2 linked regions of the Pelodiscus sinensis genome follow. The protein of the gene in region 2 binds, or shares a complex with, the protein of the main gene of each other region. Links are inferred from orthologs where the notes say so. Each region holds a gene or a part of one and is shown on either strand. Other genes may lie near its edges. The genes, in order: ORMDL3 and SPTLC1.

Evidence for each region.
Region 1: the proteins of SPTLC1 (region 2) and ORMDL3 are in contact, whole or in part, in a cryo-EM structure (PDB 7K0N), measured with the Homo sapiens proteins. The link is inferred for Pelodiscus sinensis from reciprocal best matches to the Homo sapiens genes SPTLC1 and ORMDL3. Residues at the interface, in NP_006406.1 of Homo sapiens: Ala16, Leu17, Ala20, Pro21, Tyr23, His24, Leu27, Glu28, Leu31, Ile32, Trp34, Ile35, Leu38, Leu39, Ser41, Lys42, Thr43, Tyr44, Lys45, Leu46, Gln47; in NP_001307730.1 of Homo sapiens: Gly92, Val93, Gln94, Phe95, Thr96, Ala97, Lys100, Thr103, Ile104, Ile107, Tyr110, Phe111, Ser114, Tyr119, Gln121, Phe124, Thr128, Leu131, Met132, Leu139, Pro140, His143.

The regions. Positions count from the first base shown.
Region 1 is NC_134739.1:11,201,666-11,211,681, forward strand, and holds the start of ORMDL3 (ORM1-like protein 3), read right to left. Parts: upstream 4,597-10,016; 5' UTR 4,449-4,596; intron 1-4,448. UniProt on the Homo sapiens protein: Plays an essential role in the homeostatic regulation of sphingolipid de novo biosynthesis by modulating the activity of the serine palmitoyltransferase (SPT) in response to ceramide levels.
Region 2 is NC_134716.1:49,111,910-49,122,136, forward strand, and holds the start of SPTLC1 (serine palmitoyltransferase 1), read right to left. Parts: upstream 5,117-10,227; 5' UTR 5,102-5,116; coding exon 4,868-5,101; intron 1-4,867. UniProt on the Homo sapiens protein: Component of the serine palmitoyltransferase multisubunit enzyme (SPT) that catalyzes the initial and rate-limiting step in sphingolipid biosynthesis by condensing L-serine and activated acyl-CoA (most commonly palmitoyl-CoA) to form long-chain bases.

The sequences.
Region 1 (10,016 bases), on a different chromosome or scaffold from region 2:
ACAGAGGGGCAGAACCTTTTCCCACGTGTGCCGAGTACCAGCTGGAAGCATGGAACAAGCCCTTCTAGCCCTGTGCCAGATTCACTTGGGAAGCACTTAATTAGCTGGTTAGTACCAGGCCAAGTCTAACGTACCTCCCAGGATGCTACCGAAACCCCTGAGATCATGTGGGCTGCGTTGTTGCACCCGGCAATCACTTTTTGCACCCACTTTACACAGGTAGGAGTTAGGGATGTTAAATGTCGGTTAATCGATAAGTCGAGTAACCTCATGAATTCTGATCAGTGAGGTGACTATTCTATAGTCCCTGGGGGCGGGGCCAGTAGCCAGTGCACCTCACTCCCCAGGAGCCACCTGCCACTCCATGCTGCTGCCGCTGTATCAGAGGCAGCAGCACGGGGTGCCAGGCAGGAGCTGGTCTGTGAAGGGAGCCAGGTTAAAAATCTGCTCTGGTCACGATCCGGCTGCCTGTCACCCTGTGCTATCGCCTCTGATAGAGGCAGCAATGGCAGCAGCCCTTGTCGGGGGTGGGGGTCTGAGCTACCAGACCTGGCACAAGCTGGAACTGAGCAGGGCTGTCTGTCTGCCCAGCTCCTAATACACTTTAAATGCAGAGCTGCAGCCAGGGTAGGTCCCGGTATGAGCCAGGACTGAGCCGAGCTGCTGGCCAGCTTGCTATAGAATTCACTGGGGGGGAGGGAAGGGAAATGCGTGTAGTCTCTAGCATTAACCTATAAGCTTTTGCTTATCGGGTAATCGACTCCACTATTACACCCCTAATAGGAGTGAGCAGACACGGGGGGATGCAGTGGGGGAAATCAGGTGTGGGATGTGCTGGGAGGTGCTTTCCAGACTGATTGGAAGAGAACACACTAGAGACCAACTCCACCGGGTAGCAAGGAGGAGAGTCTAGGGGGTTTTTGGGAGGGGGGGACTGGAACAGTAATTACTGGTCACACCCCATGCTCACACAAATGCTCTCCAATCAGGCACCGGACAGCCCCCCAAAGCAGCAGCAGCCCAGTTCGACAGGATGCCAAGGTTTCTCCAGAAAGGGGAAGTCGCTCACTCCTCCCCACGCAGCAACCAGCGGCAGTGCTGGACGAAGGGGGTGCCCCTCAGACCACACGGAAGCGCTCGGCTTCTGCCAGCGTCTCCCGTCCGCCCCCGTGCGCGCTCCTTAACGGGAGCGAGGGGCCTGAACTGAAAGCTACAAGCAGGACCGACTCTGGAGTCGCAACTTGCAGCTTCCCAGTCCCGTTTCCAGAACGCATCGTCCGACCGATCCTGAGCAATGTCCGGGTCCAGCCTCGGGGGGTGCCAAGGGAGAAGGGCACCCATCTGGGGTGCTCTTGCTGGAACACGGTTTGCTACAGCAAACACTGACTCAGACTTTTGAGGGGAGCTGGCTGGCATCGCTCGCATCACCCCCCCTCTGATTACCTGAGCCACCTAAGAGATGTTTATGGGGCCCACAGTCACTTCTGGAGGCTGGACTTTCCAGCATAGAATGATCTCATGGAACAGGAGGGGCTCCCCCATTAAAGCTACCAGCAGCTTGAGTTTCCCCTTAGAAACAGCAACATGGCTGCAGAACAGTATTGTTTAGCCATGCTGTGGTAGCATTTAGGAGCCACAGGCCTGGGTCAGCACCAGACCCTGTGGTGCTTGGAGCTGTACAAGCACAAAATAAAAATGGCTCCTGCCTCAAAAAGTTGGCAACCTAAGGGAGGTGAAGATTGCAGGCCGAGGTGGGCAATTGTTTTCATGGAAGGGGGGGGGGGGGAATTCACAAATTTTGGTATGTAATCGCAGGCCACCTCTGCCCCCCCTTGAAGGGGCGGGGCTTTGGGTGGAAGGGCTGGGGCTAGAGAGAGTGTGTGTGTGACATTTTATGTGTGAGAAATAGACTTTCTGACACAGATTGAGTACGTGCGGCAAAGGGACAGGAAAGTATGCGTGGCAGTGTGGATGTGACAGTGATTGTGTGGGGGGGGGCACAGACTGGGAGTGGGTGCTGGCTAAGTTTGAGAGAAGCCACCTCTGTTTCTTTAAGGAAAATCTGTCCTAGTCTGCTGCCCGCCCCCTCACTGCTATTTCACAGGCTTGATTTGTACAACTCTGCTGACTGTGTGTCTCCATCTACAACCCCTGCTCTGCAGAAATGGGGTACAGGGGAGGGGAACACCCTGACTTCAGCCAGTTCCTGCACAGTTAGCAGGAAAATCCTGGGAGCCAGGTGGGAGGAGGGGCAGCCGAACACACACTGCCAGCTGTAAGTCTGCACCTCTGCTAATCAGCTGGGAAGGCCAGAGGGAAATACTTGGGGCCAGATCCAACCCCGGGGCCGGAGTCTGCCCACTCTTGTGGCAGGCTGTGCTGGAGAAGCATGCTCAAGAGGCAGGAGTGGGGGAGAGGAAGCACTTACCAGAGCCAGAAGTGAACTCCCTATAGGGGCTTCACATCCCAGCTGTCCAGCCTAGAGACTAAGTGAAGGTCCCACGGACAGAGCAGGCCTCCCCTGGGGATTTCCCACAGCTGCGCCCGCCCGAGATAGCTACTGCCAAGAAGCTGTGGGTATTACAGGCTGTTTGCCTGTAAGCTGCGGAAGGGCTCTGCTCTCCCCACCTCCTGCTCCCCCCCCCCCCCACCATTAACCTCTTTGTGACAATTCAGGGACCTGTCGCTGCCCAGCTGTGCAAGTTCATTCCACAATATTGCACAATAGGGAACCGCTGCCGGCGCAGGTTCCCTGCTCTAGCGGCACAACTGGATGGGATCTGATCTCAGGGCTCAGCTGAGAGGCTCTGGGTGACTCACTGAGGGGAGGACGAAGGGGGATGGGATACAGAGCCATTCACCTGGAGGTCACGGGTTCAAATCCAGCTCAGGCTGGCAGAGAAGTTGGACCTTTCTGGATCGAATGGAGGTGCCAGCCACAGGGGAGACCCCAAAGAGGCTGTCACAGGTAGGGACCAAAAGGCCTCAGTAGGTCAGTGATTGTGGGGGGATGGGGCTGGATTTGTAGGGGACTTCTCAGGACTGTATCTCTTCTGTGGAGAGCCTAGAACTGGGGCTAACTTGCCAGCAAGTCACCCCTCTCTGGAGACCAGCAGCCCCTCCTTCCATCACCCCCCCCAGAAAGCCGGAGATGCTGCCACTGACTGCGCAGAACGCTCTCAAATCTCCACCCCTCTCCTGCAGGGATCCCAGCTGTGTTTTGGCTTGTTGCTTTCCAGGCTCCCCCAAAGAGCCATGGTTCCTCTGGGGACCTTCCTTGTGCTGCCTGCAGAGTTTGGTAAAAGGCAGCCTGGAAGCTCCAGCTCCTACCCCCGCCCTAAACCCTCAGCTCGACACAGCAAGCCACTCTGGAGCGCTGAGATACGGTCCAAAGGCCTAACACCAGACATGCACAAAAAAACAGCCAAAGGTCGCGGTGCCCTGGCAGGCTTCCCAGCCTCCCCCCACCCAGTAGGCACTGCTCTCCCAGCCGGCTTTCCAACATCTCGTGGCAGGTTTCCCAGAACTGCCCCCATTCCAGCTCCATTGCCCAGAATCCAGCACCCCCACTCTCTCTTAGCCCCCTGCTCCTTCCCTTCCATCACTGGGACTTCTCCCAAGCCTGGCACCCCAACACCCTTGCCTCTCCCATCTGCTCCCCACAAAGCCTACACTGCTCTGCCCTGGTTCCCCACATGTCCCTGCAACCCTCTACTCCAATTCCCCCCCGCAGTTCCTTCCCCTCCCAGGTCCCCGAATCACTGGATTCTCCCCACCCCTTAGTCTCCTGCATCTCCCAGGGCCCCCCCAGTTTCCCTTCCCCTCCCAGGTCCCTGCACACCCTTCCCCAATACCCCCCCCCCCAGTCCCTTCCTCCCTTTGCCCCCAGTCTCCCTTCCCCTCCCAGGTCCCCCCAAGTCCCTGCAGCCCCTTAGCCCCACATCCCTTCCCCTTCTGTATCCCCCCCAGGTCCCTTCCCCTTCTGGGTCCTCCCACAACCCTGCACCCCTTTGTCTCCAGATCCCTTCCCCTCCTGGGTACCCCCAGGTCTCTGCACCCCTTTGTCTCCAGATCCCTTCCCCTCCTGGGTACCCCCAGCTCTCTGTACCCCTTTGTCTCCAGATCTCTTCCCCTTCTGGGTCCCCTAGGTCTCTGCACCCCCCTTGTCCCCAGATCTCTTCCCCTCCTGGGTACCCCCAGGTCTCTGCACCCCCTTGTCCCCAGATCTCTTCCCCTCCTGGGTACCCCCAGGTCTCTGCACCCCCCTTGTCCCCAGATCTCTTCCCCTCCTGGGTACCCCCAGGTCCCTTCCTCTTTCGGCTCCCCCCGAGGCCCCTGCACCCCTTTGCCTCCAGGCCCCCCCAGGTCCCTTCCCCTGCCGGCTCCCTGCACCCCCCAAGTCCTCTTCTAGGTCCTTGTGCCCCCCGCACGCCCCAGCCCCTGCTCACCGCGCAGCCGGCTCTCGGCCCGCCGCCCCGGGCTCGCCGTGGGGGTCTCTCCCCGCCGCCCGGCTCCGCTCCCCGCCGCCGCTGAAGACAACACAGCAGCTGGAGGCCCCGCCCGCGCGCCCCAGCAACCCACGCGGCCGCGGGGCGCCCTGGGAAATGTAGTTCCTCCGGGTTGGCCGGGACTCCCACATGTCCCATGGCTCCAGGCCGGGCTGCGCCGCTCCGCGTCCCCTGCCGCGCCGCTCGCTGCCCTGTGGTTATCATGAGTCTTTCGTGTTCTCCTTCATTTTAGTATTTCCCCGTGCATGGGTTCCCATTCTCTGATTTTTTTTTTAATTAAAACCACGAGGACTCCTGAGGCAACTTAAAGACCAACAGATTTATTTTGGAAAACCTTAAAAAACAACAAATGGTCCGGTAGCACTTTAAAGACTAACAAAACATGAGCTTTCGTGGGCACAGCCCACTTCTTCAGATGACCAGAGTGTTGGAAGTCCAGGAACAAGAATAAATAAGGGAAGGAGGGAGGAGGAGTGGAGGGAAGGAACAAAATTGGAGGGGGGCTGGTAGATAAGTTTCAAAGGGATAGCCCAGCCAGTCCGTAACAGGAAAAACTTAAAAAACAGTTAAATAGTTAAAAGAGGCTGATAAGAACCATTCGTTTGCACTAGGAAAGGAAGAGTGTTTTGGCAGCTGCTTTTGTGGGCAAAACCCCCACACCATCAGATCCGACTTGCCCACGAAAATTTATGTCTAAATAAATCTGTTAGTCTTTAAGGTGCTGCAGGACTCCTCATTGTTTTAATAAAAAAATAATCAGAGAATGGGAACCCATTTTGTTTTTGCAGCTCCAGACTAACATGGCCTCCTCTCTGATCTTTTATTGTGTGCACGCACCTCCGTGATTCTCTTGTGACTTGTCAGCCTCCCACGCTTGGCCTTTTATTGCGTTATGGTTTGCTGACCATCAGCAGCATGCCCGCCGCTGCACGGTACGCACTTTAGGCCAGCAAAAAGCTACAATCCTGATCTTATGCCCACATCACTTTCATAGAATCATAGGACTGAAAGAGACCTCAGGAGTCATCAAGTCCAGCCCCTGCCCAAAGCAGGACCAATCTCAACTAAATCATCCCAGCCAGGGCTTTGTTAAACTGAGACCTAAAAACCTCTAGGGATGGAGATTCCACCACCTATCATGAATCCCTTGAAATCATTGTAGTAGTAAAAACAACAAGGAGTCCTATGGCATCTTACAGAGTAATTTATTAAGACATACGTTTTCGCGGGCTGGACCCCACTTTGTCAGATGCAAGTAATCTTTAAAGTGCCACAGCCCCATTAGTTTTGCTGAAACAGAGTAACACGGCTACCCCTCTGAAATTTGTAGTAAAGTTAAGCATGGGAATAAATGCTTGCAGAACTGGAAGTGGAAGTGTGTACTTAATAAGATGGTGTGTCAGTAAACATACAGAATTCAGTGGGGCTGCCCCCATGCTACAAGGGGCAGCGGCAAAAACAGTCTTTGCCCTGAAGAGCGTACATGGTCTGTGAGCTCAGTCCTGCAAACGCTCATCTCTTTACTCACAAGAGCCAGACTGGAGCCTGCATTGGGTGGAGCCCGTTCCCAGATGGCCCTCAGCTAAAATCAAATGGGGCTCTATGCAGTTATGAGGCTCCAGCTGCAGGAATGAGAAATCAAGTGAGTAAAGAAGTCCACAAGTAATGCACATTGGAAAAATAACCCCAAGTATACATACAATATGATGGGCGCTAATTTAGCTACAACTAATCAGGAAAGAGATCTTGGAGTCATTGTGGATAGTTCTCTGAAGACGTCCACGCAGTGTGCAGCAGCAGTCAAAAAAGCAAACAGGATGTGAGGAATCATTAAAAAATGGATAAAGAATAAGACGGAGAATATCTTATTACCCTTCTATAAATCCACGGTACGCCCACATCTGGAATACTGCATACAGATGTGGTCTCCTCATCTCAAAAAAGATATACTGGCATTAGAAAAGGTTCAGAGAAAGGCAACTAAAATGATTAGGGGTTTGGAATGGGTCTTATATGAGGAGAGATTAAAAAGATTAGAGCTTTTCATCTTGGAAAAGAGGAGACTAAGGGGGGATATGATAGAGGCATATAAACTCATGAGTGGTGTGGAGAGCATGAATAAGGAAAAGTTATGTACTTGTTCCCATAATATAAGAACTAGGGTCCGCCAAATGAAACTAATGGACAGCAGGTTTAAAACAAATAAAAGGAAGGTCTTCACACAGCGCACAGTCAACCTGTGGAACTCCTTGCCTGAGGAGGTTGTGAAGGCTAGGACTATAACAAGGATTAAAAAAGAACTAGATACATTCATGGAGGTTAGGTCCATTAATGAGTGGGTAAGGAATGGTGTCCCTAGCCTCTGTTTGTCAGAGGGTGGAGATGGATGGCAGGAGAGAGATCACTTGATCATTACCTGTTCAGTAATTGACCACTGTTAATTAGACAGGAGACTGGGCTGGATGGACCTTTGGTCTGACCCAGTGTGGCCGTTCTTATGTTCACATTGCAAAGACGCAGCAATTGTGATATAAGCTGAAGGTAGGCAGGGTAAGGCAGCTGTTGACAGAAGGGTGGTGGTGTGGCTTAAACGGGTGTACTTGAGCGGGGCCACGATGCAGCCCCAGTTGGGCCCTGCCCCCACCAGCTTCCCTTGGGCTAGAGCTGACACCAGCTGAATGTAGGGTAGATAAGGCATCAGTCTCTGGACTGTGGGGTTGTGGCCCTGGCAGCCACCACCCCTTGCCCTGGCTGGAGCTGGCATCTGCTAAAGGTGGGGTGGTCCCACCAGTGGGGGGTCTAGGATGGAGATTGTGTGTAGAAGGGCACATGGGGTAAAGGACTGGGATGCAGAAGGCAGGCTGCTGAGGGTAGGAAGTAGAGCATGGGGAGGTGGCGTGAGATGGGTTACCTTACCTGGCTGAGGCTGGGCTACCTGCGCAGCATGAGCTGGATGAAAAGCAGGGCCAGGATCGCCACAGGCGGAGCATGGCCTCCCCCCCTACCCATGCTGCAGCAGAAGGGGTGCCACCTGCAGCCACACGGGGGCCAGACTGGGGCAGTCAGATGGGGGTTGGTGCTGGGCCAGAAGCCAGATGGAGGTATCTGCTGCCGCCCGCCCCTCTCGTTGTCCCAGGTTGGAGTGTGCCCTCCGCTGGCCCTTGAAAGGAACAGAGTGCCCCAGCCGGCTCTTACCCGGGCACAGCGCCTCCCTTTCACCTCTGGGTCAAGGGAAAATAGACCAAAAAAGCCCCTCTTGACCTGAGTTATTGTCCCTGTTTCAAATTTTGAATTAATTTTTCATTTTAAAGAACTCATCGCCCCTCTCTTAAGAGTGGGGGGTTGACCTGGGGGCGTTTGGTCAAACTTTCCCTCCCCATCCCGCAGGTTTGTGCGAGTTGGCTGTTGGCCTCCACCCCCGAGGTGGCTGCATTTCAGTCCCGCCATGTACACGCTGTCTGTACAGCCCTTTGGAATCCTATGGAATTAGGTGTGCTATAACAACAGGAAATAATTAACATAAGCTGTTAATAGAAATAATAATTGCAGGTAATTTAGTGTTCTACCAGCTGTGGCTGTGATCCAGAAAGCACTTAAGCATGCCCCTTATTTTTAAACCAACGAGAAGTTCTGTTGACCTCCCTTGAACTGCTCACGTGCTTAACGTTAAGCAGGTGCTTAAATGCTTTGCAGGGCCAGGGTCTGAGACTGTGTGTGTGAAATAACCATTCACTAACCAGTGGCACTGTGCCACCCCTGTCCAACAATCCTGCAATTTACAGTCGGATGCACTATGGCATCTTTGGGCCAAGGTCGGGAGCTTGTCTCCACTCTGAATTCTGCTAAAAGGGAGCCCGTCTGAGCCCTGCATTAATAATCAGCAATTAATGGTGCTAAATAATCAGAACTAAGCACCTTGGAGCTAAAGTCCAGCAATAGGCGTATTCTTTTGCATGTTTTGTGCGGCTTGTGAGCTTTTCCCACCAAGCAGCAGCAGAGGGTGCCAGGCTGTTAAATGTCTGACAGAGATGCAGTTCATCTGGAGAACAGGTTTCCAAATAACAGCCTGGCACCCCCTGCTGCTGCTTGGTGGGAAAAGCTTACAAGACGCACAAAGCATGCAAAGGTCTATGCCTATTGTGAGGGATACGATCGAGGTTTATAAAATCATAACTGGTGAGGAGAAAGTGAGTAAGGAAAAGTTATTAACTTGTTATAAGAAGTAGGGGTCACCAAATGAAATGAATAGGTAACAGGCGTAAAACAAATGAAAGGACCTTTTTCTTCACACAGTGTACAGTCGACCTGTGGAACTCCTCGCCAGAGGATGTTGTGAAGGCCAGGATTTTAACAGGGATCAAAAAAGAACTAGAGAAATTTATGGAGCTTAGGTCCATCAATGGCTATTAAGCAGGATGAGCAGGAGTGGTGTCCCTAGCCTCTGTTTGTCAGAGGCTGGAAATGGATGACAGGAAAAGGATCATTTGATGATTCCCTGTTCTGTTCACTCCCGCTGGTGCACGTGGGAGACAGGGCACCGGGTTAGATGGATCTTTGGTCTGACCCAGTGTGGCCGTTCTTATGTCCTTACTATTCCAGCCCTACGCTCCTGCACACTGGGCTGTCAGTCCCCTTCCGCCCCTACTTACTGAATTTCATTTCAGCCCAATTTTTCATCTGTTCTTTTTTTTTCCACCCTCACTGTGCAAAAATTAGCCACAGACACTTTGTTCTCTTGGACTGGAGTTCAAGCAGCAAGAACAACAACATGGCGAGCTTGCTGCTGGTGATCTGAATGAAAGTCATTGAGGTTTTCCTGGGCTAGCCCCAGAAATCAATGCAGATCTGCACTTGACAACTCAGCTGCTTTCTGCCGTATCCTAGCCCCGCTACTGCTGAGTTGGAGCCCCCAGTCACGCTCTCAGGAACACATGCAAGGTGTGGCTTGGTCACAGAGAGATGGGTCGTTCCTTGTCGTTTGTCACCTGGCTGTCAGCCGGAGTGATGTTAGCAACCTGTGCCAAACTAGCCAGCCTGTTGACAGGGAGCCGGGGTTAATTTAGGGTTGTGTGTGAGAAGAGTGTGTGTGGCTACGTTAGCGTGTGTGTATGGGAGTAAATTACATTTATGTGGGTGTACGAGACAGCCTCAGCGCACTAGGCGTGCGAGTGAATATGCGTGCGAGTATGGTGCCTATGTGTGCGCGTGCAAATCCGCGTGTTTACGATTGTGTGAATGTGTGTTCTTGTGTGACAGCCCAGCTCTTTCCACCGCATTAATCACACTCGACGTGGCCATTTTGACCTGGGAGATTTTTTTTTAACAATTGCCTAATTACCATCCCGCCCCCCCCGGCATGATTAACCTGTAGCATCTTCCATGACACCACAATTTAGTGCTGCCTGGGTGGGTGTTTTTTTGGGGCATGTGGGCAACTCTTCACTGAGACCCACAAAACTCTCACCGCTGCTTCACTGAAGTGCCAGGCAATGGACCAACGATTCTGGA
Region 2 (10,227 bases):
TCCCTGCCATAGTCCCCAGCCGGACTCTGCCAGCTCGGGGGAGGGGGACTAGTGCCAGCCTTTGCCAGTCTGCCTGTTGGGTTGCTAGCCTCGCTGCTGCAGCCACAGCTAGACTGCCTGCCGGACTCCAGCAGCCTGCACTGCCGTAGGCTGCCACAGGCCTTGTACACTACAAATTCTAGTTTAAAACAGCCACTGGATTATTTTATTGCTAATAAGGCCTTGTTACACTATGATCAGGAGAAGAGAATCAGATTTTTTTTAAAGCTAGACAATTAAGGATCAGCTTTGCAAGCAGACCCTTCCAAGTGAAACGTGTTACACAGTGTGCATCACTGGCAACGTATCTTTCCACTTGTAATCTACTGGGCTACGTCTACACTGGCATGAATTTCCGGAAATGCTTAAAATGGAACAGTTTTCCGTTATAAGTATTTCCGGAAAAAGAGCGTCTACATTGGCAGGATGCTTTTCCGGAAAAAGCTCTTTTTCCGGAAAAGCGTCCGTGGCCAATGTAGACACGTTTTTCCGGAAAAAAGCCCCGATCGTCATTTTCGTGATCGGGGCTTTTTTGCGGAAAAGAGTACTGTGCTGTCTACACTGGCCCTTTTCCGGAACAGTTTTCCGAAAAAAGGACTTTTGCCCGAGCGGGAGCAGCATAGTTTTTCCGGAAAAGCAGCTGATTTCTTACAGTAGATCATCACTGCTTTTCCGGAAATTCAAGGGGCCAATGTAGACAGCTCGCAGCTTATTCCAGAAAAGTGGCTGCTTTTCCGGAATAAGTGGCCCAGTGTAGACACAGCCCTGGTGTTTAAGAACCGTGTTAAATGACCAAGATGTAGGAACAGAGAGAGACCAACCAAAAAATGCCATCAATGTCAGAGTTGCTGCTGCATCACTGTTTGATCTACTAGGTAACTCAAATAAGACTCCATACTGGAAGTAGGTCACCCCCTAAATTGTGTGGGGGATGGAAGAGATCAGAGCAACACCTTTTCCTATGAAGCAGCAACCAAGACATCAGGATCTACAAGACAGAAATGCCTGTTTTAAAAACTCTGAAATAAGTATCCATTTTTGCCATTAGCATAAACGACAACGAATCCATCTTGAGAGAAAAAAATATTCAGAGTATGAATAAATAAATCTTTGCCTTTCAATAATAGTACCAACATGTAAACTAAGTGTGGAGGTAATAAGACAAGAGACTTACTAAAACAGTAGATTTCTGCCTCAAAAAATAAATGTGGTAGAAATAGTGGACACCAAAACATAACATAGTATGTAACAGCAGAAATAAGTCACAATTTGCAGCAAGCCATCTCCAAGTCAGAACTGGTCAATAATACTGATGAGAATTTATACCATGTGCTAAAGGTGAATGTAAAATCTGACCATAGATGGATACTAGATTTACCTCGAGACACAACTGTCACTATGCTTTATCTTTGACATGACAAACTATGCATAGTTTGTCAATATAGGAATATAGCAAATGCTATTCCAGATCAGACCCCACCTACATCTACTCCAGCATCCAGTCTCTGATTGGGATGTTAAATATCAGTTAATTGAATAGTTGAGTAACTTCATGAATTCTTATCGGTTAGTTGACTATTCTATAGTCCCTAGGGGTGGGGCCAGCAGCCAGTATATTCCAGCCTCACTCCTGAGTCACTGCCTTCCACTCTGTGCTGCTGCCTCTGTATCCTATGGTAGCAAGTTCCACAGTCAAATGACAGGTCATATAAAAAAATAGGGATGTAAAAATAATAAAAATATTGTTACTGATTAAAGGGGGTGAAGGTGGGAGGGGCCACTCTAGCCCAGCTGCAGCATGGCCCTCTCCTCTAGGCAGCCCCTGCACCTGGAAGGCCAGAGTGCCCCATAGGCAGGGACTACCACGGCATCCCAGCAGGAGCAGACCCTACCTGCAGGGCAACTGCACAAGCCATGGACAGAGCTTGGTATGGCCAGGACACCAATACAGCTCCCTGCTTATGGGGTGCACTGGCCTGCTACAAGCAGGTGCTGTACCAGCCCAGCTGAAGAGGCAGCCTCTACCACTTAACCAACTAAACATGCATATTGCTAACCAACTAAACATGCATATTGCTAATAAGACAAGAAGTCCTTTTATTAGTTGCAAATTTCTTGCTTTTTAATTTGGCTGAATGTCACCTTGTACTTGGATCAGGGCATTCCTGATCTACTGTTAGTGTATCTCCAAGCCACTACTCATTCAATTTGTTCTTCTCTGAGCCCTGCTTACATCTCCAAGAAGTGAGCCAGGGCACTGATCGCCAGCTATCGCACCCTTAGACTGGTTCACTGCCCAATTCCCTGTGGGCAAAGCAATGGATTTCAGGAAGGCAGATTTTGGTAAGCTCAGAGAGCTGGTAGAGCCATGAGAAGCAAGACTAAAGGGAAAAACAACTGACAAGAGTTGCCAGTTTTTCAAAGGGACATTATTAAGGGCCCAAAAACAAGCTATTCCGCTGCATAGGAAAGACAGGAAGTACGGCAAAAGGTCACCTTGACTTAACCAGGAGATTTTGCATGATCTAAAAATAAAAAAGGAGTCAGAGTGGAAACTAGGACAAATTACAAAGGATGAATATAAACAATGCAGGTATGCAGGGAAAAGATTAGAAAAGCAAAGATACAAAACAAGCTCAAACTAACTACAGACAAAGAGAAACAAGACAAGATTCTATAAATATATTGGAAGCAAGAGGAAGACCAAGGACAGGGTAGTCCCACTGCTCAGTGAGGAGGGAGAAACAGTAACAAGAAACTTGGAAATGGAAGAGGTTAATTACTTCTTTGTTTCGTCTTTACCAAGAAGTCTGATGATGAAGGAATGCCTAACAGTGAATGCTAGTGGGGAAGAGGTAGGTTTAGAAGATAATAATAATAAAAAAAGAACAAGTTAAAAATCACTTAGAAAAGTTAGATGTCTGCAAGTCACTAGGGCCTGATAAAATGCATCCTAGAATACTCAAAGAACTGATAGAGATCTGAGCTTTTAGTTATCTTTGAAAAATCATGGAAGACAGGGGAAATTCCAGAAGGCTGGAAAAGGGCAAATATAGTGCCCATCTATAAAAAGAGAAGAACAGACCAGGAAACTACAGATCAGTCAGTTAAATTTCTGTGCCAGGAAAGATAATGGAGTAAGTTACTAAGGAATTTATCTGCAAATACCTGGAAGATAATAAGGTGATAGGGAACAACCAGCATGGATTTATAAAAAACAAATCATTTCAAACCAATCTGATAGCTTTCTTTGACAGGATAAGAAGTCTTGTGGATAAGGGAGAAGCAGTGGATATGGTATACCTAGACTCTAGTAAGGCACTTGATACAGTCTCACATGATATTCTTATCAATAGGGCTCGCTGAACCACAGCGAGCCCCGCTTGCCAGCCACGCTGTCCGGTGATCTGTGAATGTGCAGATCCTTCTGCGCATGCACAGATCGCCCAAACCCGGCTCTTCCAGGTTGCAATCTACTCACCACAGGCGAGTAGCTTGCATTATTTGTTGAGCCCTGCTTATCAATAAACTGGGCAAATAAAACTTAGATGGGGCTACTATAAGATGGGTGCATAACTGGCTGAATAATCACTCTCACAGTAGTTATTAACAGTTCACGATCCTGCTGGAAGGGCATAACAAGTGGGGTTCTGCAGGGGTCTGTTTTGGACCGGTTCTAGTCAATATCTTCATCAACGATTTAGATATTGGGATAGAGAGCATGCTTATTAAGTTTGCAGGGTTGCAACTACTTTGGAGGATAACTCAAAATGAGCTGGACAAATTGGAGAAATGGTCTGAAGTAAATTGGATGAAGTTTCATATAGACAAATGCAAAGTACTCCACTTAGGAAGGAACAATCAGTCTCACACATACAGAATGGGAAGCGACTGTCTAGGAAGGAATACTGAAGAAAGGGATCTAAGGGCTAGAGTGGACCACAAGCTAAATATGAGTCAACAGTGTGACTGTTGCAAAAAAACCAATCATAATTCTGGGATGCATTAACAGGAGTGTTGTGAGTAAAATACGAGTACTCATTCTTCCACTTGAAGCCTAATCAGAGTAGATGCGCTGATTAGGCCTCAAGTGGAGTACTGTGTCCAGTTCTGGGCACCATATTTCAAGAAAGTTGTGGAGAAATTGGAGAAGGTCCAAAGAGGAGCACAAGAATGATTGAAGATCTAAAAAGCATGACCCATGAAGGAAGACTGAAAGAACTGGGCTTGTTTAGTTTGGAAAGGAGAAGACTGAGAGGGGACATGATAGGGTCTTTGGTATCTAAAAGGGTGTCACAAGGAGAAGGGAGAAAAATTGTTCTCCTTGGCCTCTGAGGATAGGACAAGAAGCAGTGGGCTTAAACTGCAGCAAGGAAGGCTTAGGTTGGACATTAGGAAAAACTTCTTAACTGTCAGGGTGGTTAAACACTGGAATAAGTTGCCTCGGGAGGGTGTGGAATCCCCATCTCTGGAGATATTTAAGAGCAGGTTAGATAAAGGTCTATCAGGGAGGGTCTAGATGGCACCAGGTCCTGCCATGAGGGCAGGGGACTGGACTCTCCAGATCCCTTCCAGTTCTAGCGGTCTAGGATCCTAAGATCAGTTACACGAACCCACCATGCCCCAGCGCCAAGGAGATTCCTGAGCCGGGCCCCAACCACCACCCTCCATGCCCCTCCCCCAGCGTGCCCCGCTGCCAGACCCGCGCAACTTAAGAGGACCTGCCCACCCCCCAGGAAGCAGGGGGGCGGGGAGCTACTGCGCTCTCGGCCAAAGCAGCGCCCCCGCCGGTGCCACCAGCGCCCGCTCCCCAGGGCGGGAGTCTCACCTCATAGAAGGCCTGAACCATCTCCACCAGCACCCACTGCTGCCCCGTCCCCGCCGCCGCCATCGCCTGCGCCGCTTCCAGGCCGCGGCGCGCACTGACGTCAGCCGGCGCAGGCAGAACCGGGGGAGACGCTGATACGTCACTGAGCCGTGACCACGCCCTTCCCCGCCGCGCCCCCGAAACCCGCGTGTCGTTAAGCAAGGACCTGGGGAGGGGAAGGCGGGGCGGGGCCATTGGCCGCTGCGCGCGCGGGTCCTAGCGCCGCTGCGCTCGGCGCGCCCCACGGGCATAAATCGGCCCCTGGCCTCCTCCGTGCTCGCCGACAGGCCTGCGCAGCGCCTCTTGCGCACTGGGCAGGGCCGGCAACTGGCCGCGTTTGCTGCCTTTACCTGCGCGAGCAGCGGCCCCGCCTTCACTGGGGGCACCCGGGCCGTGACCCAGGGTCCTAGCGGTGCAAATTTCTGCCGAGGGCGGGTGTCAAGAGCTGTGAGGAATATACATTGTCCTCGTTTGTAATAGGGGGCTCGAGTCCCTGCTGGATCCGCTTTACGTGCGTGTCGCTAGTTCTGCGTAGTCCCTGACACATCACAATACACCTCTTTCATTTAAATAACCTCGTGACTGAATGTCTACAATAAACCAACTTCCTCCTTATGGTTAACACTGGTCTGTCCCTTAGTCTGTGTCCCGTGCGTGAGAGAGGGGGATAACGAAGCTCTGCGTGTAAGACAGAACAGGGGTACGAGCAGGGCTACTGCTGCCAATCAGTGACAGGACAACGTGCAGGAGAGACACGAAGAGCAGAGATGAGGGAAAATATTATGCATTGAAAGAAGAAAACACAACTGTCCTGATCCCAGAACTAGAGCAAAGAGATAGCCATGCTTAAGTACGCATTGCACCATGGGAGGAGGGAAAAGTTGAGGGCAGAGTGTTGGGAGGCGGCGTTCAATACAACAGTACCTGTAAGAAATTTAAGTGTCAGAGGATCAAAGCAGAGGATTAGAGTAAAGCAGGAGAGAGTCCTCAGAGCAGGAAAGTTTTGGGGCATTCAGGAATAAGGGCAGGGGGGATGTAGGAAGTGCAGGAATCTGGGCACACAAGCTGCACACTTTCTCCTTGATAGGGGAAGAAGAAAAGCAGCAGAGTTCCAGGTGCATGCAGCTGCAACCCCCCTCTAAAGGCTGCAGGTCAAGTCTAGGAGTTGGGGCAGCCATCAACAGGGGAGGAGGGACACACACCTTCAGCCAGATCCTTTCACCTGTCTGGTTGCCTGCTTCTTATCAAAGCATCCTGGAGGAGAGCTCCAGGAGCTGGTTGGGAGCCTCTGCAGCCAAGTGCCCCACCTTCTTTTTGCCAGAGCCCTGCACCGGGGCATGCTGCTTTTCACCTCTGGATTTGGGTCCCCCTGTGGCCGTAGGCCTGCAACGTGTGCCATGTCCTGCAAGCCACCTAGTTGTGCCCCGCTGAACACTATTTCTTTCTTTTTCATGGCGTTGGGGCAAATACTTGAAAACAGTTTCTAGGATTAGTTTTGTTCATTGTCACAAAATTCTTTTATTTAGAACACATTGGGTAATTACTAAACTTCCAAGAAAAGTTATATAAAATTATATGACTGGTTATTGAGCATTGTTCCCCCAAAGGTGCCACCTGCACAGGAACACACCAATAATTTGAGCCCCGCCCACCTCCTCACCAAAGCTGCACAGTGGCTGCTCAACTGTTCTGGGGTGTGAGGCTGCCCTGCCCAAGGAGCAGTAGGGCAGCTACCATGCAGGCCTGGCCCCAGAGCTGGAGCTGCGAGACACGTGGTGGGTGGCAGCTACTCCAGCATCTGGGGCTAGAGCCAGAGCTGCATGGCGGGTGACTGGCAGTTGCTCCTTCAGCAGTCCCAGCTGGGGCCAGGGCCAGAGCTGGGTCACAGGCACGCAGTGGCTGCTCCAGCAGCTGCAGCTGGGGCCAGAACTGGAGCCATGTGGTAGAGAACTGGTCTGGCAGATGTTCTGATGGCCCTATTGGGGCCAGAACCGGGGCGGCATGGTGGGGGGTCTGGGGTGCTCCAGCGGCCAGCGCCTGGTAGGGTCACGTGGCAGGGGTGCACTACCTGGGAGAGAGTCTTGGGGAACAGCGCCATTGGTTGCCACAGTGGCACACATCTGAACAAGTGCATATGACCTTGTTGGTGCAGCTGACAAAGCTCACTCTGCTCATGGATGGAAAATCTTAGAGGGAACACTGTTCTTGAGTAAATGTATTTGGCAGAAAGGCTAAAAGGACACTGTGCAGAATCTTTTCATTTCTGTTTTTCACAGTTTGATAAATGTGCCAGATGTTTCTTGACAAGCACTTACAAAACCAAATTTATTTACCGTCTCTCATCACCCTTCCCATAAACCTTGGCCCTCTTCAAACTGCAACGTCTCTCTATCACAACTTAATCAGTTCTAAGTAGCAGAATGATTTAATTGTACATGAAAATGTTAATGATACATATGTTGCGTTCTGTTATGCCACATTTGCTATGACATTGGTAATCCATCACTGATGATGATGACAATATTGTTGCAATTCTCATAGAATGCTATGGATATGACTCCACCAGGCTCATCAACAGAGGGAGTGAAGAGGACAATTGCCCCAGGGCCTGGTGATTCTCAAGGGCCCAGGGCTTGTGGCTGCCACCACTGCTACTGTGGCAGCAGCAGTTGCTGGACTCCTGGGCCTTTTAGAATTGCCATTAGAGTGCCACACCGCGTGCTCCATAAGGGGTGGGGTGGAGACTGGTCATCACATTGTAGCTCCCTCAATGGCTGTTCTGACACCTGCCCAATTGTTGGTTACTTTAATTGCTGTTGTCTCTGAAGATCTAATATATGGCAGGTTCCCCAACTTATAGCACATTTTAGTGACAATCATATAACACAATCTCCTAACTTCATATGCACCAAAGATTTGTTTCAGAGAGGTAGCTGTGTTAGTCTGTTTCAGCAAAAACAACAAGGAATCCAGTGGCAACTTAAAGATTAACAATTTTACTAGGGCTTAAGCTTTCATGAGTTGCAACTCACTTTGTCACATGCATGAAGTGAAAGAATCTGTATCCCTACCATCTGATTCTTTCACTTCATGTATCTGACACAGTGAGTTGCAACTCACAAAACCTTATGCCCTAATAAAATTGTTAGTCTTTAAGGTGCCACTGGATTCCTTATTGCTTTTACTAAAGAGACATATATTTAGATAAAACAATGGGTTTCAGCTGTTCATGAATTTTCCCCTAATATTGTACATGGCATGCTTTATATGCAAGATCGCAATTATATACAAAATAGGGAATAAGGGGGGGATACAAGGTGCCCCCCCGAGTTATATAGAGTGTCACGTTGCTCTTCAGATTATCTTTGAAGAGCTTATATGGAAAACCTTTCATTTGTCCAGATTCAGCTGCCCATACAATATCTGTTTTGGGAGACAGTGGTCTTCCATTCTGATGACATGGCCAGTCCTCCTAAGTTTGCTCACAGAGAGGCAACAAGGTGGGGGAGACAGGACCTTGTGGTTGCGGGAGCTGGCTTAAAAGTTGGTTTCGCCCCAGCACTGTCTCTGCAGTACCGCTCTGTCTGCCTCCTGCTGCCTCTATTACAGCCAGCGGGGAGAGAGGAGAGGTCTGAGGAAGGATAGGGGAGGTTGCTGCAAAGCAACAACAAATCTCGCATTGATCTGGGATGCTGCACCTCTACATTTCAAGTGCAGAGCCATAGTGCTGGTGGCTCCCGGAGCCGGCATGAGCCAGGACTGCTCAATTCCAGCTCAAGCTGGCTCCTGGAGCTACCCCCACTGTGGCTCTGCAGAGCGGTCCTTATCGACACATCACGTAATCGATACAATATGTATCAACTACACAATTAGCCAGATAACCTCAATTTAATATCCTTAGTGCCAGATGCTTCAGAGGGAATGAACAGAACAGGACAATTAATGAGTGATCCAACCCCTGTCATCCAGTCCCAGCTTCTTGCAATCAGAGGTTTAAGGTCACCTGGAGCCTATGGCTGCATCCCTGATCATATTGCCTAATAGTCATTGATGGACCTATCCTTTGTGAACTTATCTAATTCTTTTTTTAACCCAATTATACTTTTGACTTTAACAGCATCCCTGGCAATAAAATCTACAGGTTGACTGCATTGTATGAAGAAGTATTTCCTTATGTTTGTTTCAAACCTGCTGCCTATTAATTTCATTTGGTCATCCCTGATTCTTATGTTATGTGAAGGGGTAAATACCACTTGCATATTCATTTTCTCCATGCCGTTCATAATTTCATATCTTTCTTTAATTGTATCTTTTCAAAGATGAACAGTCCCGGTCATCATACAGAAGGTATGTCTACACAGCAACATTATTTTGAAATAACTAGCGTTATCAAATAACTTAGTCCATGTCTACACAGTAGGAAGTTATTTCAAAATAATTGTGAAATACTGTCAAACTGGAGGACTTCTTACTCCGACTCCTGTCACCCTCATTGTACAAGGAGTTAGGGAAGTCGGAGGAAGAGTACTCTATTTCAAAATAAGTGCTGTGTAGATTCTCCCAATTTTGAAATAAGCTATTTCAAAATAAGCTATGCAATTGACATAGCTCAATTTGCGAAACTTATTTCAAGTTAAGCCCTGTGGGGGGAGACACCCAAAATCTCATCCATATCCTTACTCATTTTTTGCACTTCTCTGTACCTTTTCCAGTTCTATTATATTTTTTGAAATGGGGGCAACAAGCACTGCATATCTCATTCAAGGTATGGGTGTATCATGGATTTCTAAAGTGGCATTACGATATTTTCTGAATTACTGTCTATCTCTTTTTTAATAGTTCCTAACAATATGTTGGAAGCCTCCCAGAAGAATTGGCAGAAACCACATCAGGTGTGACTTTTAGAACTAAACTAGAAAAGCATTAAAACAACAGGGTGCAATCCTGCACTGGCAGAGAGAAGGACTGGATGATCTAATTGGTTTCCTATAAATTCTATAACCAAGTTCAGCTGGGAGTTTGGCATTCAGCCAAGAGGATGTCAGCATCAAGTACAAATGGTGTCCTAACTCAGTTAAGAGCTCAGCCTCAAGCCAAGCAGGCATGCCCCAACACACAGTAATAATGGAAGGTTATTCTGTGGGAAAAACACTTAAGCCTAAAGAAAAAGAGTACTAGAATCTCAAGTTCTACAACTCTTGCCTGCTGATACCAGGAAGAAAAGGAAGATGACTGTTCACTTCATTCTGTGAGCAGACTGATTTAGCATGATTTGAGACTATAAGCTACTACATATTATCTGCAATACATTTGAGAGAGTC